Linked DNA regions of Saccharomyces cerevisiae S288C. Changing the gene in region 1 together with any one later gene gives a genetic interaction. Each region holds a gene or a part of one and is shown in the gene's direction. Other genes may lie near its edges.

Region 1 (5,862 bases):
ACCCCAAGTGCCGTCTCACTAGATATGAGAAAGTTGGCATTGGGATTAAATGATGACAGTTCGGTAGGCGAAAACACAAGGCTAAAGGTAATGCAGAACTGTTTTGAAGTATCCAACCCATTACACCAACTGCAAACCAAATTAACAATCGCATTCCCGGACAAATCGCTGCTTCAATACGATTGTGGTAAATTGCAGAAGTTAGCAATTTTATTACAGCAGCTGAAGGACAATGGACATAGGGCACTTATCTTCACACAAATGACAAAAGTTTTGGACGTTCTGGAACAGTTTTTAAACTATCATGGTTATTTGTATATGAGACTAGATGGTGCCACAAAGATCGAAGACCGTCAAATCCTAACAGAGAGATTCAACACTGACTCAAGAATAACGGTATTTATCCTATCAAGTAGATCAGGAGGGCTAGGTATCAATCTGACTGGGGCAGATACAGTTATTTTTTACGATTCAGATTGGAATCCAGCCATGGACAAACAGTGTCAAGATAGATGTCACAGAATTGGACAGACTCGAGATGTGCATATTTACAGATTTGTCAGCGAACATACCATAGAAAGCAATATCTTAAAAAAAGCCAACCAAAAAAGACAATTGGATAATGTTGTTATTCAAGAGGGTGACTTCACAACAGATTATTTCAGCAAACTTTCGGTGAGAGATTTATTGGGATCCGAATTGCCCGAAAATGCTTCAGGTGGAGATAAACCACTAATAGCAGATGCAGATGTGGCAGCCAAAGATCCCAGACAACTGGAAAGACTTCTTGCGCAAGCGGAAGATGAGGATGATGTTAAAGCTGCAAACTTAGCCATGAGAGAAGTCGAAATTGACAATGACGATTTCGACGAAAGCACAGAAAAAAAAGCAGCTAATGAAGAGGAAGAAAATCATGCTGAACTTGATGAGTATGAGGGCACTGCCCATGTTGACGAGTACATGATCAGGTTTATTGCCAACGGTTATTATTATTGAAGGACCAGGTTCTACTCTTCACCGCTGCCTTAGTTGTCCAAATCGGACTATATACCTATTGTGAATATTTTAATGATATATAGCCATAATGAATCAACAAATTGTATTATTATTTCCGACAACACTATCGCCTCTTGGTTTTTATGGTAATGTACTCACCATGGCATTGTTCCTTGGTCACCAATTTCTATTTACCGGGTGATGGCGGCGCGCCACAGCGGAGGGGCATTGCCACATTGCTGCGCGATCAAGGTTGGTTTTTCCAAAGAGACTTCAAGAGTACTAAGCTTTTGATGTAGTAATATTTGTCAAAGAGTTTTAAGAGCAAGATTCCATTGAACAGAGGTGCTGGAGTGACGAGCGTGTGTGTTTTTAGCCTATCTTTATTCGTTGAGCCTGTAGAAGAGCCGTTCTTTTAAGTACACCCTGATTAGATCCCCCTATTTGTTGCAACCGTTCAAGTTTTGTAGATCGGAAGAAGAGCAAAACAGAAAAATAAACAAGGCGAGAACGTAAGGTGTCATTGCATTAGCCATTAAAAACCATATTCACTCTTTACATTCGTGTAGCAATTGTTACTGTGATAAACTATTGAAATTATTTATAGTATATTTTGTTTTCTTCCTTTTAATCACTTTTTGAATTTTTAGAATCTGAAATTTTTTTTCTAACGTTGATTGGAAGAAAAGTAATGGATTCCACAGGCGCTTCTCAGATTGTTAGCGCACTAGATGTTATTTACTCCCCCAAGTCTAACAATTCTCAACGGCAAGAAGCTCAGAAATTTTTAGATGAAGTGAAATTATGCTCAGAATCGCCCTTTTGGGGCTACGAAATTGCATTGCAAAACCCCACTAATTCTATATTGAAATACTTTGGACTAGGATTACTAGACCATGCAGTGAAGAAAAACTGGAATGATTATGACGAGGGGAAAAGAGTGGCCCTGAGAAAATGGGTCATGGAACTTAATTTTGGGGTGCAAGATTATGATACCAGATATATTAAGGAAAAATTAGCCACTTTATGGGTAGAGGTGGCAAAAAGAACATGGGGTGAGGCTCTTAAGCAGACAAACCCTACGGAAGAACAGTTACTCACATCTTGGGTGGACATGGACAATAACCTTTTCGAACTTTGGAACATAAATCAATCGTCAAGAGAACTAGCATTAATAATTTTCAGAATCCTTTTTGAAGATGTTTTCTTGTTGGACGACCTAATTGTTTTGAAAAGGATGACGGTTATTCAACCCTTATGTGTAATGATTGTTTGCCCTATTGAAGTTTTCGCAATAAAATACAAATTCAGTGATAAATGGACCAAATTTAAAGCTAATGAAGAGGGCTGGTTTTCTGTTTGGATTCCAGAGTTGAATAATGCATTACAACAGAATAATTCTGAATACATCATAAGGCTTTTAGAAACTCTGAAGACGTGTTTAAACTGGCCATTAACAGAGGTCATTGTAAGAAATGACGTGTTATCCTCCTTATTGACTTGTTTATCCAGCAATATCCCAAGGGCGCAGTCAATGGCATTAGACTCGATACATATTCTGTTGACCCGTCCCTATAGTAATGAAAGCCATTACCAAATGACCATAGATCGAGTTTTTGATAATATGGACTTATTAGATAGCGTTTATGAAAGCTTGTTGTTTGATCCTACAGATGATATAGATGAAACGAAATATCCTATAATTAAAAAGTTCGTGGATATGATCAGTTGTCTCTATGTTTGTGTCCCAAAGATTAAGGAGACAAATGGCCAAATTCAAAAATATTTTAAGCTTGTATTAAAGACAACTTATAACCCAAGCTTAATCGTTAGCGGATTAACATTAGACCTATGGTGTACCTGTCTTCGAAACGATGAATACTTACCCAAGCTGGAGAAATATGTCATTCCTGATCTACTACAGTTTGCCGCGGATGCTTTAGTCTATTATGAACAGATTGATGGTCATATTTCCAAAAAATTTGCGGAGATTGATTTTCAATCCAAGTCCGAATTTCAAACATTTTGTTCCACTTATAGGAAAAGAATAAGAGACATCATTAGGTTGATTTCTTGCGTCGAATTAGACCTTACTTATGATTGGTTGAACAACAGATTAAACAATTATTTCAGCTCTCCATTTGGTCAGCAGGTCTTAAGTTCCACATTTTTGGACCATAAATTAGAGCCTTATTTAGGTGCCCTCTCCCAATACATGATTGTTGAATGTTTCATCAATGGTTGTATAAGATGGAAGATCTGGTATCCAACAGGAGATGATTATGACGAAAAACTAGATTCCATATTACAAAAACTGGAAATTTTGTCAAACCAGTTAATTGCATTAAATTTAAGAGAACCATTGTTATTGAAGAAACAAATCCAAAATTTTGCACTTTTTTTGACAATGTTAAAAGATAATGTGCTTTTCACACTTTTAGAAAAAATCATAACAAGCGCCACGATGGACTATCCAGAAATTAATTTGGAAGAGAGAGGCGCTGAATCAGACGCAGTTAGAGATTTGAGATATGCTTGTGGTATCGAGTTGAATAGGATGGCTTTATTAATGCCCGAATCTCTGAAAAAAATATACCCAGACCTTGAAAGTGTCATTGCCAGAATCATGCCCAACTTATCTTACCATGAAAAAATTTCCTTCAAATCCTTCTTATTGATCATTGTATTGAAGTCTTCATTAGATATGAAAGAGGAAAGATTTGCGGCTATTGTGGATCCAGAACTTTTAGCCTGGTCTGATAAAACAACAGTTGTTGGTCTTTCTGATTTGCATTGGTTTATGGAACGCTTAGGTATTGTTCAGATCGCAGAATATTTCCAGAGGCGTGATATCGACGAAAATAGTGACCTTTTATCAATTCCAATTGATGATGAGGGTAAAGAGCTGAAGTCGGAATTGACCAAACGTTGGCAAAGCTTGTTTCCTGTTCGTGCAACAAGAATGTTCATTCATTATTCAATGCAAAGTATAAAGACAGATGAAGAATTCAAAATGCTACAAGATCTGTGGAGACCTAGGATTGTCCCAATATTACCTTACATCACGAGACTACTGTACCAATTGCAATCCTACCACGATCCAGATAATTGGAAAGGATTACCTACGGTTGTGCAATCCTTCGTCAAGTATTCCACTATTGAAAGATTTTGGGAGGCCGGAGCTTCAAATAAATCAAAGGATGAGTTTATTGATGAACATATGAAAGCGATGCAAACCTTACGAGACTTCGCCGACTCCGTAGGACACATCATTAGGTATACAAGGGAATACACTCTACTTGTTTTAAGTGCCATATCATCACTTGGTAGTGTTTTTTACCTTTTGGACGAATCGCCCGACCTACTACTGAACTCTATTGCCATATTTAAGCCAGGTAGCAATGAGATAAGCCCTGGAGTTTCAACACATGGATGGAAACACATAATGAATATAGCCATTCGTCCTATATTAAAAGGTTGTCCAAAAGATTGTCTGGGGAAATTCATGCCCGCATTTTTGCCTAAATTATTTGAAATCCTGGACCTGCTGCTATGTCAGAAATGGTCCTCGCATATGAATGATATGGACATGAACCCAGTTCCAACTGACGATGATCAAATGACTGAAGAAATTTTGGAAGAGAATTTGTTGAGACAACTAACCACAGTTGTTGTTAGAATAGTAATTGATTGTGTTGGTCAAGGCAATGCCAATCCAAACAGTGCTAAAAGCAGGCTAAATAACCATCAAATGGAGATGAGAAAAATTATATTTAATGATTTAAACACCCTTGCTCCATTTTTGAAACTTTTGAACCATTTAATTTCCTTCAAGGATACAAAATGTTCATTTAACTCCATCCTAGTAATGAAATGCTGCTTAACCTCAGTCCTTAATCAAAACAACACGGTGGATGAATATTTCACATTTGAAGTGATGAAAAATCTGTTGCTAAATGTGCTGTGTAATAGTGCGTTTAAGGATTCTTTCCATGAGGCACTATATGCTTTCACTGTGATTTTTTTGACTCTGTGCAAAGAATATCCCTCTGCTAGAGCGTTCCTTTTTGAGATATCTAATGGTTATAATATTGATGAGTTATACAGAAATTTAAGGAGCGTGGACGAATACAAAACACAAAGGGCACTCATGATTGATTTTATAGATTGGGTTAAATCCACCAGTGGGAAAGAAGATGGTAATGTGGACCATGCAGGCGATGAGAGAAAAAGACAAGAGAAAAGGGAAGCTATCCTCAAGAAGGCAAATGAGAGATTAATTAAGAAGAATAAAGAAAACGGAGACATGCTGGATGATCCGAACATTGAAGACGGTGCTGTGGGTAATCTCTTTGATGACAACTGATAATAAGGTGCCATATATACGTAGATGTGTAGATGAAATTAGAGAAAGCAAATAGACATCTGAATCGTGCTAAAAATTGTAATTATTGTGAAAAAAAAAATTCTGTATTCGCAATTTTTTTAATGAAAGTCGGCAGCCGGTAAATATGCATATAATCAAGCGTTTTAATGTGGGTCTGAACAAGGTATTTCTGAAGATTTTTTCTTCACATATTCCCTAATATTTTAGCGAAATAGGAAACCATTGGCAATGGAACAACTGTGTAAGAGGTACGTGCATACACCGGCGGCTTTTATACAAAACATTGTTGCTAACACTAAAAGAACAACGCTAGCCACGCAATTATCTGTTGAAAAAGCTAAAAAAAAAGTTCCCAAGACAGCTCTTAAAAAGAAACTTAATAGTAGGCCAAAAGAAAGGCTTCCGAATTGGCTAAAACTAAACGATGTTTTTAACATACATTACGAAAAGCCATCTAACTCTGATATAAATAAGGTTAA
Region 2 (4,442 bases), on another chromosome or scaffold:
TCAGATAGAGATAGATATACCGAGAACAAATCCCCACATTCCCCTCTACCAGTTCAAATCCGTACAGAACAGTTTACAACGAATACTATATCTTTGGGCAATCAGGCATCCTGCTAGCGGATATGTGCAAGGTATTAATGATTTAGTTACACCATTTTTCGAGACTTTTCTTACCGAATATCTGCCGCCTTCACAAATAGATGATGTAGAGATAAAGGACCCCTCTACTTATATGGTAGATGAACAGATTACAGATTTAGAAGCGGACACGTTTTGGTGTCTTACCAAATTGCTCGAACAAATTACCGATAACTATATTCACGGACAACCAGGCATATTAAGACAAGTGAAGAATTTGAGTCAGCTAGTGAAACGAATTGATGCTGATCTATATAACCATTTTCAAAATGAACATGTGGAGTTTATACAGTTTGCATTCAGATGGATGAATTGCCTTTTGATGAGAGAATTTCAAATGGGTACAGTAATAAGGATGTGGGACACATATTTATCTGAAACTTCACAAGAGGTCACTTCTTCTTATTCTATGTCGTCCAATGACATTAAACCTCCTGTTACTCCAACAGAACCTCGAGTGGCAAGTTTTGTTACACCAACAAAAGATTTCCAATCTCCCACCACAGCTCTTTCTAATATGACACCAAACAATGCTGTTGAAGACAGTGGAAAAATGAGACAGTCTTCGTTGAATGAGTTTCATGTGTTTGTTTGTGCTGCATTCCTCATCAAGTGGAGTGACCAGCTAATGGAAATGGATTTCCAAGAAACTATAACTTTCTTACAGAACCCTCCTACAAAGGACTGGACTGAAACGGATATTGAAATGCTTCTGAGCGAAGCCTTTATTTGGCAATCTCTTTACAAAGATGCTACGTCGCACTGGCTGTAAACGGACCTATTCATTTTACTTACTGTATAGTATGTAATAATATAAAACAAAAATCTCCTAATTCATAAATCCTGAGGAACGTGACACATAAAGTTATTGTATACAGATCATCTAAAGATTGGTTTGGTAGAATGTCTCCCAAAGCTCGATGCATTCTTTTTGAGATTCAATGGCCGCTTCTAGTGATATTTCCATGCCGTTTCGGAATTCCCGAATTTTATCAGTAGAGAAACCTTGGAATTCATCTTTTATTTTATCTCCTACCGCTTGCCATTGTTTTTTTGTAAGGTTATACCTTCTCTCCAATGTTTGAAATTCCTTTCTCATTTCTCTGAATTTTTCTGAATGAATATTTTGACCCAATTTGCCCAATTGTGAGTGTTTCTTATTCATGTCATTTTCTATTACTACCAAGAAATACCCCAATTTGGATCTCTGATTGAAAATTGCTTTTACGCTTGCCAATGACCTAATATAGTCGTCCAGCATCACACCCATCGTCAAAGTCTCTTGCAAAGAGCTTCTCTCAAGAGAGCTTTTTATGCTTTTATGAACATCAGCAAAATTATTCAGCAGTTCCGAATTAGGTTCACTCACGTTCAAAGACGCTAGGGTTTCTACCATACTAGAGAATTCTTCTGTTGATGCAGCCAGGGTGTTTCTTGAGGTGTCGACCATTTCCAAAGATTTGCTCAATTTTTTTAAATTATCTTCCAGTTCATCAATCTTTTGTTTCTTTTCGATAAAGAATTCATCTGCCTCGTTGTACTTGGGCAGTGATGAAAACGATATACTCATAAATCCCTTGTGCGATTCCGCGTCGATACCCCCATTTTTTAAGACCTCGGCAGCATCCTCTGCACCTAGTAGTTGTATCTCACTTATCCGGACTTCTGACAGATCGTTGCTATCATTAATAGCGCCAGATCCAGTCAAAAATGCCCTTTTTTTAGACTCTGAACTAAAGTCATCACTTGTCAAAAAGAGTAGAAAATCTTTGTCCTTTTGTAGAACCGGATCTTGACATATTTTTTTTAACATGCTTTCCATTTGAAATCTTCTATTTTCAATGAAATTTTCCTTAAAACTGCCTACTGATTGCTTCTCTGGTGGTGGTGGTATTACTTTACCCCAATGGTTGTTCTGCAATTGACGATATAGCCACCTGAAATCTCTGTAACGCCTGCTTACCTGTGCATATTTTAGCTCAAGTAATGATGATTCACTGATTACAGTATACTCCACATGAATGGATGTTAGCTCTCCTACTTTGACCGGGTCTTTAACTTCAACTTTGAAAGCCACAGCCTTTTCGGTTGGTGGCACCTTTGAGCCAATCTTGGTTTTTCCAAACTTTTCTGAGTTTTCCTCGACCTCAGCAGGACTTGAAATATTAGCACCTGTCTGAGGAAGATTGTATAAAGGCCTGTCCACTTGCTCAAGGATATTTTTTTCAACAGAAGCTGTGAACTTGCCCTCATTGTTTTCTCTCCTTTCATTCCTATCGTCCAATGGCTCTTCAACAAATTCATTCTCTTTTTCAGCTTTCTTTAAGGGATCAGTAAAGGGTGTTTTGATGGTATCATCGGAAGCAGTTGTTCTCTTCGCTTTCAGAGAATGGTTGCGTTTGGAGTTTCTTTGAGCTCTGGCGGAATCAAACAGAATTCGTGGTTTGCCGGATCTTCTTCCAGAGATGCTTTTTGAAGTATTTGGTGAAGTGTTAGCATCGTATATCGTATCGTCAAAAACTAAGGGAGAGTTGGCGTTTCCAGTGAACAATGCGCCACCGGATTCTCTTGTTGCAATAAATTGTGTAGTGCTATTCTTGAGATCAGCAATCGGATCCTGTTCAGGGGCTAAAGAATTAATAAGATCGTCAGCTTTGGAATTGTCATGCTCCTCTAGTTGCGGATTACCAGCCACCGACAAACCAGGGTCTTTCCATTCTGGCGCACTATCCAAGTCTATCTTGTCCGCAAATGAAGCTGTGGTCTCTAAAAGCTCATTGTCTTTTCTTTCTTCATTTGTAGATATTTGACCAATTGATTCAATTGAATTTGAAACGAGGCTCTGAGTTTTATCTCCCTCATGATTTAGTTCGTCCCAAACAGGTGCTTCTAGATTATCCTCGTAGTCCATGGCTTGTTATTGCAGGATGTATGAAAGTTTATAAAATCCCTGCTGCAAATTAAGAGATATATGGTTTCGTTCACTACGTAGTTATAGTAAATAACCTTTGCTTAACCCATTTTTCAAAGCATTTTTAAAATTTACTGTTATCACTTAGTTGTTCTTAGCGGACAACTTCCGAAAAGTGAAATTTCATTTTTCAAAACGACAATAGTGGTATAGAATTATAGAATAACATACGTTAAAAATAGCTGAAGTTCATTACAGTTCTGTAGTGGTCAGCAAGGCATTTGACGTCTATTGGATAGCCTACGATGAAAGGTGATCGTTCGAGGCAAAATATGGCTGTGACAAAGAAGGCAAAGTTAAAAAAAAATGACGAGCCAAAAAAGGTTTTGAAGACTGCCGCGACCGAAAAAGGTGAGGGATCCAAGCGCTACTCCTTATGGAATTTCTGGATAAGCACATTGTTTTTAAAATTACTATTGATTCCTGACTACTTCAGTACAGATTTTGACGTTCATAGAAATTGGCTGGCAATCACCAATAAATTGCCCATCAGCGAATGGTATTATGAGCACACTAGTCAATGGACATTGGATTATCCGCCATTTTTTGCTTATTTTGAATGGTTTTTATCGCAATTTGTTCCTAAATCTGTACGTGATGACGGTTGTTTGGATATAGTGGAGATCGGAAAGTTCGGTTTGCCAACAATCGTTTTCCAACGACTCACTGTCATCTTCAGCGAAATTCTTCTATTTGTCATCCTTCAAATATACATTAATACTACAAAGCTAAGTGAAAGATCTCAAAGTTTTGTGGTTGCTTCTAGCATTGTACTATCACCCGGGTTTTTAATAATAGATCACATTCACTTCCAATATAATGGTTTTCTTTTTGCGATTCTAATAGGCTCCATTGTCGCCGCCAAGAATAAGAGATACATCTTGTGCGCTGTTCTGTATACTACAGCCATATGTTTCAAGCATATATTTTTATATTTGGCGCCATGTTATTTCGTGTTTTTATTGAGAGCATACGTTCTCAATGTCAACAATTTCAAGTTTAAAAGTTACAAAGATTTTTTGTTCCTGATAAGATGGGCAAATCTTTTGAAGTTGGCTACCGTTGTTGTTGGAATTTTCACTATTTGTTTCCTTCCATTTGCTCATCAAATGCCGCAAGTGTTGAGCAGGTTATTCCCATTCTCAAGAGGACTGACGCATGCATATTGGGCACCAAATTTCTGGGCGTTGTATTCTTTTATGGATAAAATACTCACTACGGTAATGTTGAAATTACCGTACGTCCACACTTTTGCTACAAAATTTATTAAACCTCCTCTGATCCCTCAGAATATCAAGGAAATTAATGAAAGGCTCGCGGCAAACAACAATGG
Region 3 (5,618 bases), on another chromosome or scaffold:
CCGCGGTTCTTTATGATCTTTAAGCTCGAACCACAAGGCAACAATGAACCTTCTCAAATTTTAAATTCGCTTATGTAGCAACCATATCAGCCCGAATGTAAATTCATTTGTGTAGAAATGCGGCGTAAAACCATCGAATGAAGGGAGTAGTCTAACATGGTATTTTCCTTGGCTTGTTTTAAGTCTCGTCAAACTCCTCTTTTGTGTGTTTTCAGCAATAGGCTACGGCCAGGTCCACAGAAATTGACTGTTTTATACTCAACAACACACTCTGCAAACCGTGTTAAGTTTATTCGTCTGCACATGTTGAGGACTACAATAAAAGTAACTTAGAGGAAAATTAGCCGCCGTTTCACCTTGAATAGTTTGCTTTTCCTGAAATCGAGATAAGAAAAAGACAAGTTCATTTTGTACGCGCATTGATACGTATATACGTATATATAATACAGATACGGATTCTCTTCACAGATATATATATAACGTCATGGTACTAATATATGTAAGATGCCTTCGCAATGTCATTTAAAGCCTTGATATTTTTGTAATCGTCCTTATCAAATCCGGAATCAGTAGTTTCAAAATGCGTCCACAAGCTTTTAAATTCGGATTCATCCAGTATATCGTTGGAGGGCCTTTCGATGTACCAACTTGTCTCTTTCGACCTCTTGTGCAGTTCCCTGTCTGCTTCCATCCTGTGCAACAAAATGTTTGCATTGGTTGGCTGCGTCTGTAAGTCCGGGTTGATCGCAGTTGTATCGGAATTGAACTGCTGAAAGAAAGCCAATTTCTTCAAGTCTCTGTCCTTAAGCAGAGACTCCGTTCGTTGCAATGATTCTTTATAGTCCTTTGTAGTCCTCTCTGTCTTGACACTGTACCAGGTAGTAGCGTCTATGAGTGTGGTGTCTGATGGTGTGTGCGTGACGCTGGTGGCGTCGTAATGGATTAGTTTGGATAAGTCAAGGAATAGCTCTTTACAGGTGGCTTGATTCGTGAGGGATTTCCAGTCCTGGCAGGGCAGACAAAGCTCAAAAACCAAGTCTATGTCCATGAGTAGCACTTCGTTTAACACTTTTGTAACATTGGTATTGGAATGGCTATGCGGATATAAGTTTCTTATTATTCTAACATAGTATATCACTACGTCCAGTCTATCTAGTGGGTCCATCTTCATGGTTGTATCGAACAAACATTGGTGGAAGTCCTCGTAGTGATGTCTGTAGTTTCTCAAGTAGAACTGTATAGGGTCATTGTTCAGCTTTTGTTGCGATGACGGTGGTGTGGTGGTCGACGATGATGTGATAGAGTCTCTGGTCTTGTGCAGCGTCTTTTGCAGGTTCTTCAGGACCTGAATGAATTGTAATCTAGCTTCAAGAGAGTCCATCCTTGCTGTATACCTTTACCTGGCAGTGCTTTTGTGAGAAATTAACTACCATCTGGTATTCTTTTTCCTTTTCTTTCTAAAATTCTAGTTTTTCATGTTGTGCTTAATTAGGAAAAACAGTGAATTTGAACAGTTGCTGAAGTTGAGATCAGTCTTAAATATACATTGCTCAAAGAAGTACAAATACATATAAATATAAATATCTATGGTTTTCTCAACTAGTTATTATGTGGCATATACGAATGTTTTAGTGGTATGCTGGAAATGAATGTCATATGGTTGCGTTTTTCTCTGTAGAATCGGAATTCTTAGTGATATGTGCTGCCGGCGATGGTTGCGTCCGTGGCTGATTTGATGCTGCTGTGCTTGTGGACAGATCAAGATATGGTTTCACAATGAAAGGCCGCTGTAAGTAGTTGTAGGGCCCCATCAGGAAAGAAGATGACGGGTCTTGATTGCTCCCATTTATAGTAAAGTTCATGTTCACGTTCACGTTGCTGTTAAGGTTGTGGTTTGAATTATGATTAATGCTGTGGTCGGCGTTGTAATTTGAATTCACGTGGCCGCCAGAGTTTCCCGTTGAAGATAACAGGATCTTGTGGGTGATGAACGGCTTGGGCGGAACGACGTCCACTCTCTGTTGCTGTAGTAGTTGTTGCTGCTGCTGCTGCTGCTGTTGTTGTTGTTGATCCATGAATGACTGATGGGTATAATCCAGAGATGGAGGCAATGAAGTTGACGCCGCTGCTGCATGCGGCGGTGGTGCTGCTGATGAATTATGAGCTGAGTGAGACGACGGGCTGTGCGTCAACTCTCTCAGTGCGTCCACAGCTTCCATGTCCCTGGAACTAATAAGACGCGACTCCTGATCTTGCTGAGACCCGTCGGTCTCTTTACCCCCAGTATCTTGCCTCCTCCTCCTACCACTGCCAGGCTTTCTTCCCTCTCTCAACGTCTTCCCTTTTCCGGGCTTTCTGCCGCTTCCAGGTTTCCTTCCTTGTGCCAAAGTTTTCGCCATCACCCAATGTCCTGCTCCAATATACTTTAGGACAGTTTGTAGATTCACAAGGTGATCTGTTCAAAAACTCCACTGACAATAATAGAAATTTTTTTTTTTTCATTTTCTTTCAAAACTCATCACCAAAAAAAAAAAATTGATGCATTAGCATCGGCTTCATAAACGAAAAAAAAAAAAAGAAGTTGAAAAGAAAACATGATATAAATAGTTGCAAACTAAAGTAAGATAACTGAAGATGATTAGTCCTGTTTGCATACATAGTTCTGTTCTTGTTCTACGCTGATGCGATCAATAAAGTCGCTTGAAACGCGACTGGTAGAAGCCAGCTTAAGCACAAATGGTGTATATGGGAGTGTTACCCGATGCTTTTATGTAGAAAATCTTGAACTCTTTAAAAAAGAGAGTAAAAGCAATGGAGAGAGAGGCAAGCAAGCAAACAAACGTGTAATTGAGGGACTCATAAAGGGCAATGACTTCCAAAACGTCAGAAAGTGGTACCGGTACCCAAAGTACCATAGTTCAGCTGAGGAACCTACCGGATTTGACGGAAATTAGTCACTTGGAAATAGATGCTCCCGTAGTTGAAATTCTAAAGAAAACAGTACTTTTCCAGTTGAATTCGTTGAACATCTGCATTTCAAACTTTGCATTGGATGAGCTGGTCAACCTCGTGACCGTCCAAATGGACGGCATGTTTCGGAACCTGCACAATTTAACACTTTTACAAAGAAGGTCGCAAGCTTCTCAAGCAGATTTGAAATTGTTGCTTCGAGAGTTTAACCTGGATGCGCCCTCCCTTTATCAGCAGTTTCAGGCCTCAGAATTCATCAAATCGAAGCATTCCACGGAATATGAAAAATTGATGAGCTGGTCGTCTCTTGCTGCTTTACCGCATAACGAAGAAGATGAAGAGGACGAATTGAATAATATCGAGGAGCAACAGAACGAGATCAACGTTTTGCTGCCTCCCTCTAACCCACTGGAAAAACAGATACCGAGTTGGCTGCCCAACTTTCCGCCTGACCATACCTATAAGTTTACACCTGAGTTCAACCATCCAATTACTGATCTAAAAACCATCAAGAAAGAAATAGTAAAAGAAAGCCAAGAGTCTGAAAAGGCACTATTGAACTTGAACAAAAGTCTCTCCCACATATCATCAGCGTCAAATACCCCGCAACCGCCGGGTTTAGACGATGAGGACGCTATCGAGCAACAATTGGAGATTTGGGGCAACGCGCTGGAAGAAAGGAAACCAACCATAACTGAAAAGTCCTTCAATGAAAACAATATCGAGCAGTATGCGAAGTATAGAGTGGAATTGGCGAGAGAACGTGTCACGAAATTTGAAGTGAATCAGTTGAAAAGAACAAAAAATCCATTCTTGAAAATTTCTGAAACTCTCTACCTTCCAGAGAGTCCTCACCAGTCTCACAAAACCATACAAAAAACCATAGAATTGCAATTTCGTAAGTCTATGACACTATTCATGCACAATTTACCTAAGGTCCAGAAGTTGAAGAAGGAAAAAATACGAATGGCCAAGGAAGAAAGAGCAAAATCGCTAAAACGTCGGCAAGAAGAGCTTATTTCACAACGAACAAAGAGGGAACAAGATGAAGGCCATGATCTTGAGCTTCTACTAAATAACGAGCACGCAAGGGACGCTGCAGACGACACGACCACCCCTAATGCATTAAACAACTCTACCATAGTTATCAACACAAACGCCGAGGATGAGGACGATGACATAAACTTATTTGGCATCTTAGGGAGCAGTGAAGATGAGAATGAAATGTCGAGTATGCCTGCGGAGAACCTGGTCGCGGAATCGGAACCGCCAACAATGACAGCGCAAGATACTACAAATACTACACCTGTAGCACATAACACAACCAATATCGATGCTACTACAAGTCACTCTCCTCATTCGACGCCTAATGAAAACGCCCCGACATCTCCTCCTGCAGATATAGCCACAGATCACGATATAACTATGTAAACAACTGCTTTCAGTGAACCAGTGTTTGTCCCTAATATAATAATACGTATTCAATTTATCTCCGGAGAGGAATTTTTTTTTTTTTTTTTTTTCGTTCTTCGGCGACTATACCGAAACAAGGCTTGAAATATTTAGAATCAAAGAAAGTTTACGTCTTGTAAATTAGTAAATGGTAACGTGAAAGAAGTAGACGTAAGGGTGCAGTAACAGTCATTTGAGCTTGTTGACCTACCAATTAACACAAAAAAATGGGCATGTTTTTTAATTTAAGGTCAAATATAAAGAAGAAAGCCATGGACAATGGACTAAGCCTGCCCATTTCAAGGAACGGTAGCTCGAACAACATCAAGGACAAACGCTCAGAGCATAACTCCAACTCATTAAAGGGCAAATACAGGTACCAGCCGCGCTCCACACCGTCTAAATTCCAGCTTACGGTGAGTATCACATCTCTTATTATTATCGCCGTTCTGTCGTTATATCTCTTTATATCATTTCTCTCCGGAATGGGCATTGGTGTATCCACGCAAAATGGTAGGTCGTTGTTGGGTTCCTCAAAATCCTCCGAAAATTACAAGACTATCGACCTAGAAGATGAAGAATATTACGACTATGATTTTGAGGATATCGATCCTGAAGTGATTTCAAAATTTGATGATGGTGTGCAACATTATCTAATATCACAATTTGGTTCAGAAGTGTTGACTCCCAAGGATGATGAAAAATACCAAAGGGAACTCAACATGCTTTTTGATTCCACTGTTGAGGAGTACGACCTGTCGAATTTTGAAGGTGCTCCGAATGGATTGGAAACACGTGATCACATTCTTTTATGCATTCCACTAAGAAACGCTGCGGATGTATTGCCATTAATGTTCAAGCATTTAATGAACCTAACCTATCCACACGAGCTGATTGATCTGGCCTTTTTAGTCAGTGATTGCTCAGAAGGTGACACTACGTTGGATGCTTTAATAGCGTATTCTAGGCACTTACAAAATGGCACGTTGTCTCAGATTTTTCAAGAGATTGACGCTGTCATTGATTCGCAAACAAAAGGCACCGATAAATTATATCTTAAATATATGGACGAAGGTTATATCAACCGTGTCCACCAGGCATTTTCACCACCATTCCATGAAAATTATGACAAGCCATTTAGATCAGTACAAATTTTCCAAAAGGATTTTGGCCAAGTAATTGGACAAGGTTTTAGT
Region 4 (4,962 bases), on another chromosome or scaffold:
TGAAAATCTCTTTGCCTGAAGATTGGGTTAAATCAAACGAGCAACTACTTTTCCAATGGGATTGTTCTAACGAAGGAATTGTCATAGACCCAAAGACTCTAATCCCTGTGACTGCTTTTTCAGGTGGTGAAAGGACTGAATATGTTTTACCGAAAACATCGGATGGGAAACATTTCTTTTACATCGAAGCTGGTAATAATGGTATGTTTGGCTGCGGTGCAGGATCCACTATAAATCCACCAGATGATAATAGATTTTTTCATTTGAGAAAAGCTGATATCGTTTGGCCCGATCTAGATGCTCGTGCATTGTATATCGATTTTTGGATGCTAGGGGATGCTGCAAGAGAGCTACCTGGAGACTCCTGGCAAAAACACCAGGCAAGACAACTAGGCAATGCAGTTATGAATCTTTTTGACCCGAATGATCGTTCAAGTGTTCGTAAATGTCGTGAATTACTACAAAGGGAATACTTTGACTCCTTTTTAGAAAGCAGTAAGGTTTACGAACAAGGTGAATCTCAAGTTTTAACAAATGTTTATGGTATCGGCAACTGTCATATAGATACAGCTTGGCTATGGCCATTCGCAGAAACAAGAAGGAAAATTGTGAGATCTTGGTCTTCCCAATGTACTTTAATGGATCGCTTCCCAGAGTATAAATTTGTTGCTTCACAAGCCCAACAATTTAAATGGTTATTAGAAGATCATCCCGAATTTTTCAATAAAGTGTTAATTCCAAAAATTCAGCAATCTCAGTTTTTTGCTGTTGGTGGTACATGGGTTGAGAATGATACCAATATTCCCTCAGGGGAATCGCTGGCAAGGCAATTCTTTTTTGGTCAAAGGTTTTTCTTGAAGCATTTTGGTCTCAAGTCAAAGATATTTTGGTTACCTGACACCTTTGGTTATTCTTCGCAAATGCCACAACTTTGCCGCTTATCTGGTATTGATAAATTTTTGACTCAAAAGCTTTCCTGGAATAACATCAACAGTTTTCCGCATAGCACGTTTAACTGGGCAGGGATTGACGGTTCTCAATTATTGACTCACATGCCTCCTGGTAATACGTATACAGCAGATTCACACTTCGGTGATGTTTTGCGTACTGCCAAGCAGAATAAGACACCAGAATATTACGGCTCCGGTTTAATGTTGTACGGAAAGGGTGATGGTGGTGGAGGACCAACTGAGGAAATGCTGCAAAAAATGAGGCGTATTAGATCCATGAATAACAGAAATGGTAATGTTATTCCAAAGTTACAAGTTGGTATAACGGTTGATGAATTTTATGATGACATTTTGAAAAGGACTAACCAAGGCCATGATTTACCCACATGGAGTGGTGAATTGTATTTCGAATTTCATAGGGGGACATACACCAGTCAAGCTCAGACCAAAAAATTAATGAGGTTGTCCGAAATTAAACTACATGATTTGGAATGGATAGCTGCCAAAACATCAGTTTTATATCCCGATTCGTATAAATACCCTTCCAAACAGATTAACGAACTTTGGGAGAATGTTTTGTTATGTCAATTTCACGATGTTCTACCAGGATCATGTATTGAAATGGTATATAAGTATGAGGCTGTCCCTATGTTGCACAACGTTGTGAAAGAATGTACTTCCTTAATAGACAAAACCGTTCAATTTCTTCAGAGTCAGAGTAAGGCAGATTTGGTTGAGATGAGAACATTAACTTGGTCAAAACCAGAAAAGGTTTCTGAGGAGTGCTCGTTGAACGGTAGTTACACGTCCTCTGTAACCGGGTACGATGACTATATAGTCCTTGCCAATGGGAAGTTGAAAGTTATCATTTGCAAAAAGACTGGGGTGATCACAAGCATTACGGATGAAACTTTGGGGGTAGAATACCTGGACACGGAACATGGCAGAAACAAATTGGGCGCCAACCAGTTTGTTATTTATGATGATAAACCTTTGGGCTGGCAGGCTTGGGATACTGAACTTTATTCCGTCAACCAATACAAGTATGTAACAAAGCCGAAGAAAGTTCAAGTTTCCTGCAACACAAAAGAGAAATGTGCTGTTGAGGTCATTTTTCAAATTTCCGAAAAATGCAAAATCAAATCAGTGATATCACTCAATGCAACTGCGGTCACTGATGCTAAATTAAGTAAAGTAGACATTTCTACGACGGTAGAAAACTGGGATGCTAGAAACAAATTTTTAAAAGTTGAATTTCCCGTTAATATTCGGAACGATTTTGCTTCGTATGAAACTCAATTCGGGATTACCAAAAGACCAACACATTATAATACCTCATGGGACGTCGCTAAATTTGAGGTTTGCCATCACAAATTTGCTGATTATTCTGAATACAGCAAGGGTGTTTCAATTTTGAACGATTGCAAATATGGGTTTTCCACACACGGTAACTTGATGAGATTATCATTATTAAGGTCACCAAAGGCTCCGGATGCGCATGCTGATATGGGTACTCATGAGATAAAATATGCTATCTATCCACATAGAGGAGCACTATCAAGCGACACTGTTAAGCTCGCTCACGAATTCAATTATTGCTTCAAATACAAACTCCCCAAAGATATTGGCATGAATTTTGATGACATCATAAGCATTTCCGGAGATGAGAATGTCATTTTGTCTAACATAAAAAGAGGCGAAGATGATAGTGCTGTCAAGTCCAACTATTCATTAAATCCAAGGGATGAACAAAGTATTGTGGTAAGGGTTTACGAATCTCTTGGCGGGGAATCTTTTGCTTCACTAAATACCACACTAAATTTGAAGCGTATTGAGAAGGTCGATAACTTGGAGATGAAAGTTTATAAGAGTTTGACAGCAACGCGAGACGAATCAAATCATGCAATAAACAGAATTCCCATTAAATTGAGACCTTTTGAGATTGCCTCATTCAGGTTGTATTTCTGAGTTTGTCTCCCTCACTGTTTTTTACATTCACTCACTCCCAAACTTATGCCATTTCTATCATGATAACCAAAAATAGTCTTAACAAAATACATATAAGTAAATAATGCTAAATAAAAAAGCAAAAAAATAAAATTTATATCACACTTGTAAAACCTTTAAATGATCTTCTTTTTTACCTGTTTTATTCACTTGTTTTTTTTTTTCTGAGTTGTTGCGCCTTGGAAGAATGGAAAAGCAATAGTTTCAGTGACTATAGTATACAATCAAAACACCCGCCAGTTCAAAACTATTACTTGGTCACTAACCCCCAAGTCATCTCTAGCAATTTAAATTTCAATTTTAAGAAAACCTTTATTTATCCAACGTGAACAAGTACTTTCAAGCACTTCTGCCCACCGCTATATCGTGGAAAAATGTGTCAAGCTACCAATGGCCCGAGTAGAGTTGTGACTAAAAAGCATAGGAAATTTTTCGAAAGACATCTACAGTTGCTTCCCTCTTCACATCAGGGACATGACGTGAACAGAATGGCGATAATATTCTACTCAATCTCAGGACTCTCTATATTTGATGTTAACGTTTCTGCGAAGTACGGCGATCATCTTGGCTGGATGCGCAAACATTATATCAAAACAGTGCTGGATGATACAGAAAATACTGTGATATCTGGATTTGTTGGAAGCTTAGTCATGAATATCCCTCACGCAACAACGATTAATCTACCAAATACTCTCTTTGCATTGTTGTCCATGATTATGCTGAGAGATTACGAGTATTTTGAGACTATACTAGACAAAAGAAGCCTGGCGAGATTTGTTTCTAAGTGCCAACGACCTGACCGTGGCTCGTTTGTATCTTGTTTAGACTATAAGACAAATTGTGGATCTTCGGTTGATTCAGACGATTTAAGGTTTTGCTACATCGCAGTTGCCATTCTGTACATATGCGGATGCCGATCCAAAGAAGACTTTGATGAATACATTGATACTGAGAAGTTGCTTGGCTATATAATGTCGCAACAATGCTACAACGGAGCTTTCGGTGCCCACAATGAACCACACTCAGGGTACACATCTTGTGCGCTGTCTACCTTAGCTTTACTCTCTAGTTTGGAAAAGCTATCAGACAAGTTTAAAGAAGACACCATAACCTGGCTATTACATAGGCAAGTATCAAGCCATGGATGTATGAAATTTGAAAGCGAATTGAATGCCAGCTATGATCAATCTGATGATGGCGGTTTCCAGGGAAGGGAGAACAAGTTCGCTGATACGTGTTACGCATTTTGGTGCTTAAATTCACTACACTTACTAACAAAGGATTGGAAAATGCTATGCCAAACTGAACTAGTCACAAATTATTTGCTTGATCGAACGCAAAAAACATTAACTGGAGGCTTTAGTAAAAATGACGAAGAAGATGCTGATTTATATCACAGCTGTCTAGGGAGCGCTGCGTTAGCATTAATTGAGGGGAAATTTAATGGAGAATTATGCATACCTCAAGAAATATTTAATGATTTTAGTAAAAGGTGCTGTTTTTGAAGTTCAAACAGTAATAAGAGTCTATCGATTACATAAATGTGAGCAAGCGAAAAAAAAAAATTGGCATTATAAACCATCATTTTCGATGAAATAATCAATCAACGTAGATAAGCTGATATTATATAATTTTGGTCTGTTCGTGTTGATTTTATCACTGATGGACTTTGGCATACAGATAGTGACAATTTCGTTATTGAACCATTGAGAATGGAAAATCAATGGAACTTCATCCAGAGTTATGCACATAGAAGCTCCCTCAGCCGGAAAAAAGCTGATAGCGCCAAAATCTATTAGTGACAAGTCTGTGTTAAGGCCAGTTCCAGTAAATTTTGTATACGACTCCTTCAAGGACCATAAGTAAGTAAATATTGTGCATGGATCAGACGCTTTCAGTAAACCGTTAAATTCTCTTTCACTAAAAACTTCTTTAAATAGCTCCAACTCTTCCCTCCCGCCATAATTGCACGGAGAAGCGATATCAATTCCGACATCCTGGTATT

Evidence for each region.
Region 2: mutations in MSN5 (region 1) and VAM10 together harm fitness more than expected from each alone (negative genetic interaction), as found in Saccharomyces cerevisiae (2 studies listed by BioGRID).
Region 3: mutations in MSN5 (region 1) and TAF8 together harm fitness more than expected from each alone (negative genetic interaction), as found in Saccharomyces cerevisiae (2 studies listed by BioGRID).
Region 4: mutations in MSN5 (region 1) and CDC43 together harm fitness more than expected from each alone (negative genetic interaction), as found in Saccharomyces cerevisiae (3 studies listed by BioGRID).

What each region holds. Positions count from the first base shown.
Region 1 is NC_001136.10:1,139,481-1,145,342, forward strand, and holds MSN5 (karyopherin MSN5), read left to right. Parts: upstream 1-1,687; coding exon 1,688-5,362; downstream 5,363-5,862. Other genes in the region: chromatin-remodeling protein SWR1, read left to right, coding at 1-996; translation initiation/elongation factor MRX8, read left to right, coding at 5,612-5,862.
Region 2 is NC_001147.6:452,375-456,816, reverse strand, and holds VAM10 (Vam10p), read left to right. Parts: upstream 1-2,603; coding exon 2,604-2,948; downstream 2,949-4,442. Other genes in the region: GTPase-activating protein GYP1, read left to right, coding at 1-910; VPS5 (sorting nexin 1), read right to left, coding at 1,022-3,049; ALG8 (dolichyl-P-Glc:Glc1Man(9)GlcNAc(2)-PP-dolichol alpha-1,3-glucosyltransferase), read left to right, coding at 3,355-4,442. UniProt on the Saccharomyces cerevisiae protein: Required for vacuolar fusion. Involved in the early steps of the fusion pathway.
Region 3 is NC_001145.3:40,826-46,443, reverse strand, and holds TAF8 (Taf8p), read left to right. Parts: upstream 1-2,868; coding exon 2,869-4,401; downstream 4,402-5,618. Other genes in the region: CTK3 (Ctk3p), read right to left, coding at 491-1,381; DAT1 (Dat1p), read right to left, coding at 1,653-2,399; VAN1 (Van1p), read left to right, coding at 4,650-5,618. UniProt on the Saccharomyces cerevisiae protein: Functions as a component of the DNA-binding general transcription factor complex TFIID. Binding of TFIID to a promoter (with or without TATA element) is the initial step in pre-initiation complex (PIC) formation.
Region 4 is NC_001139.9:210,750-215,711, forward strand, and holds CDC43 (protein geranylgeranyltransferase type I subunit CDC43), read left to right. Parts: upstream 1-3,331; coding exon 3,332-4,462; downstream 4,463-4,962. Other genes in the region: AMS1 (alpha-mannosidase), read left to right, coding at 1-2,918; LYS5 (holo-[acyl-carrier-protein] synthase), read right to left, coding at 4,529-4,962. UniProt on the Saccharomyces cerevisiae protein: Catalyzes the transfer of a geranyl-geranyl moiety from geranyl-geranyl diphosphate to proteins having the C-terminal sequence Cys-Ile-Ile-Leu or Cys-Val-Leu-Leu. Acts, among other substrates, on Rho1 and Rho2 and CDC42 proteins.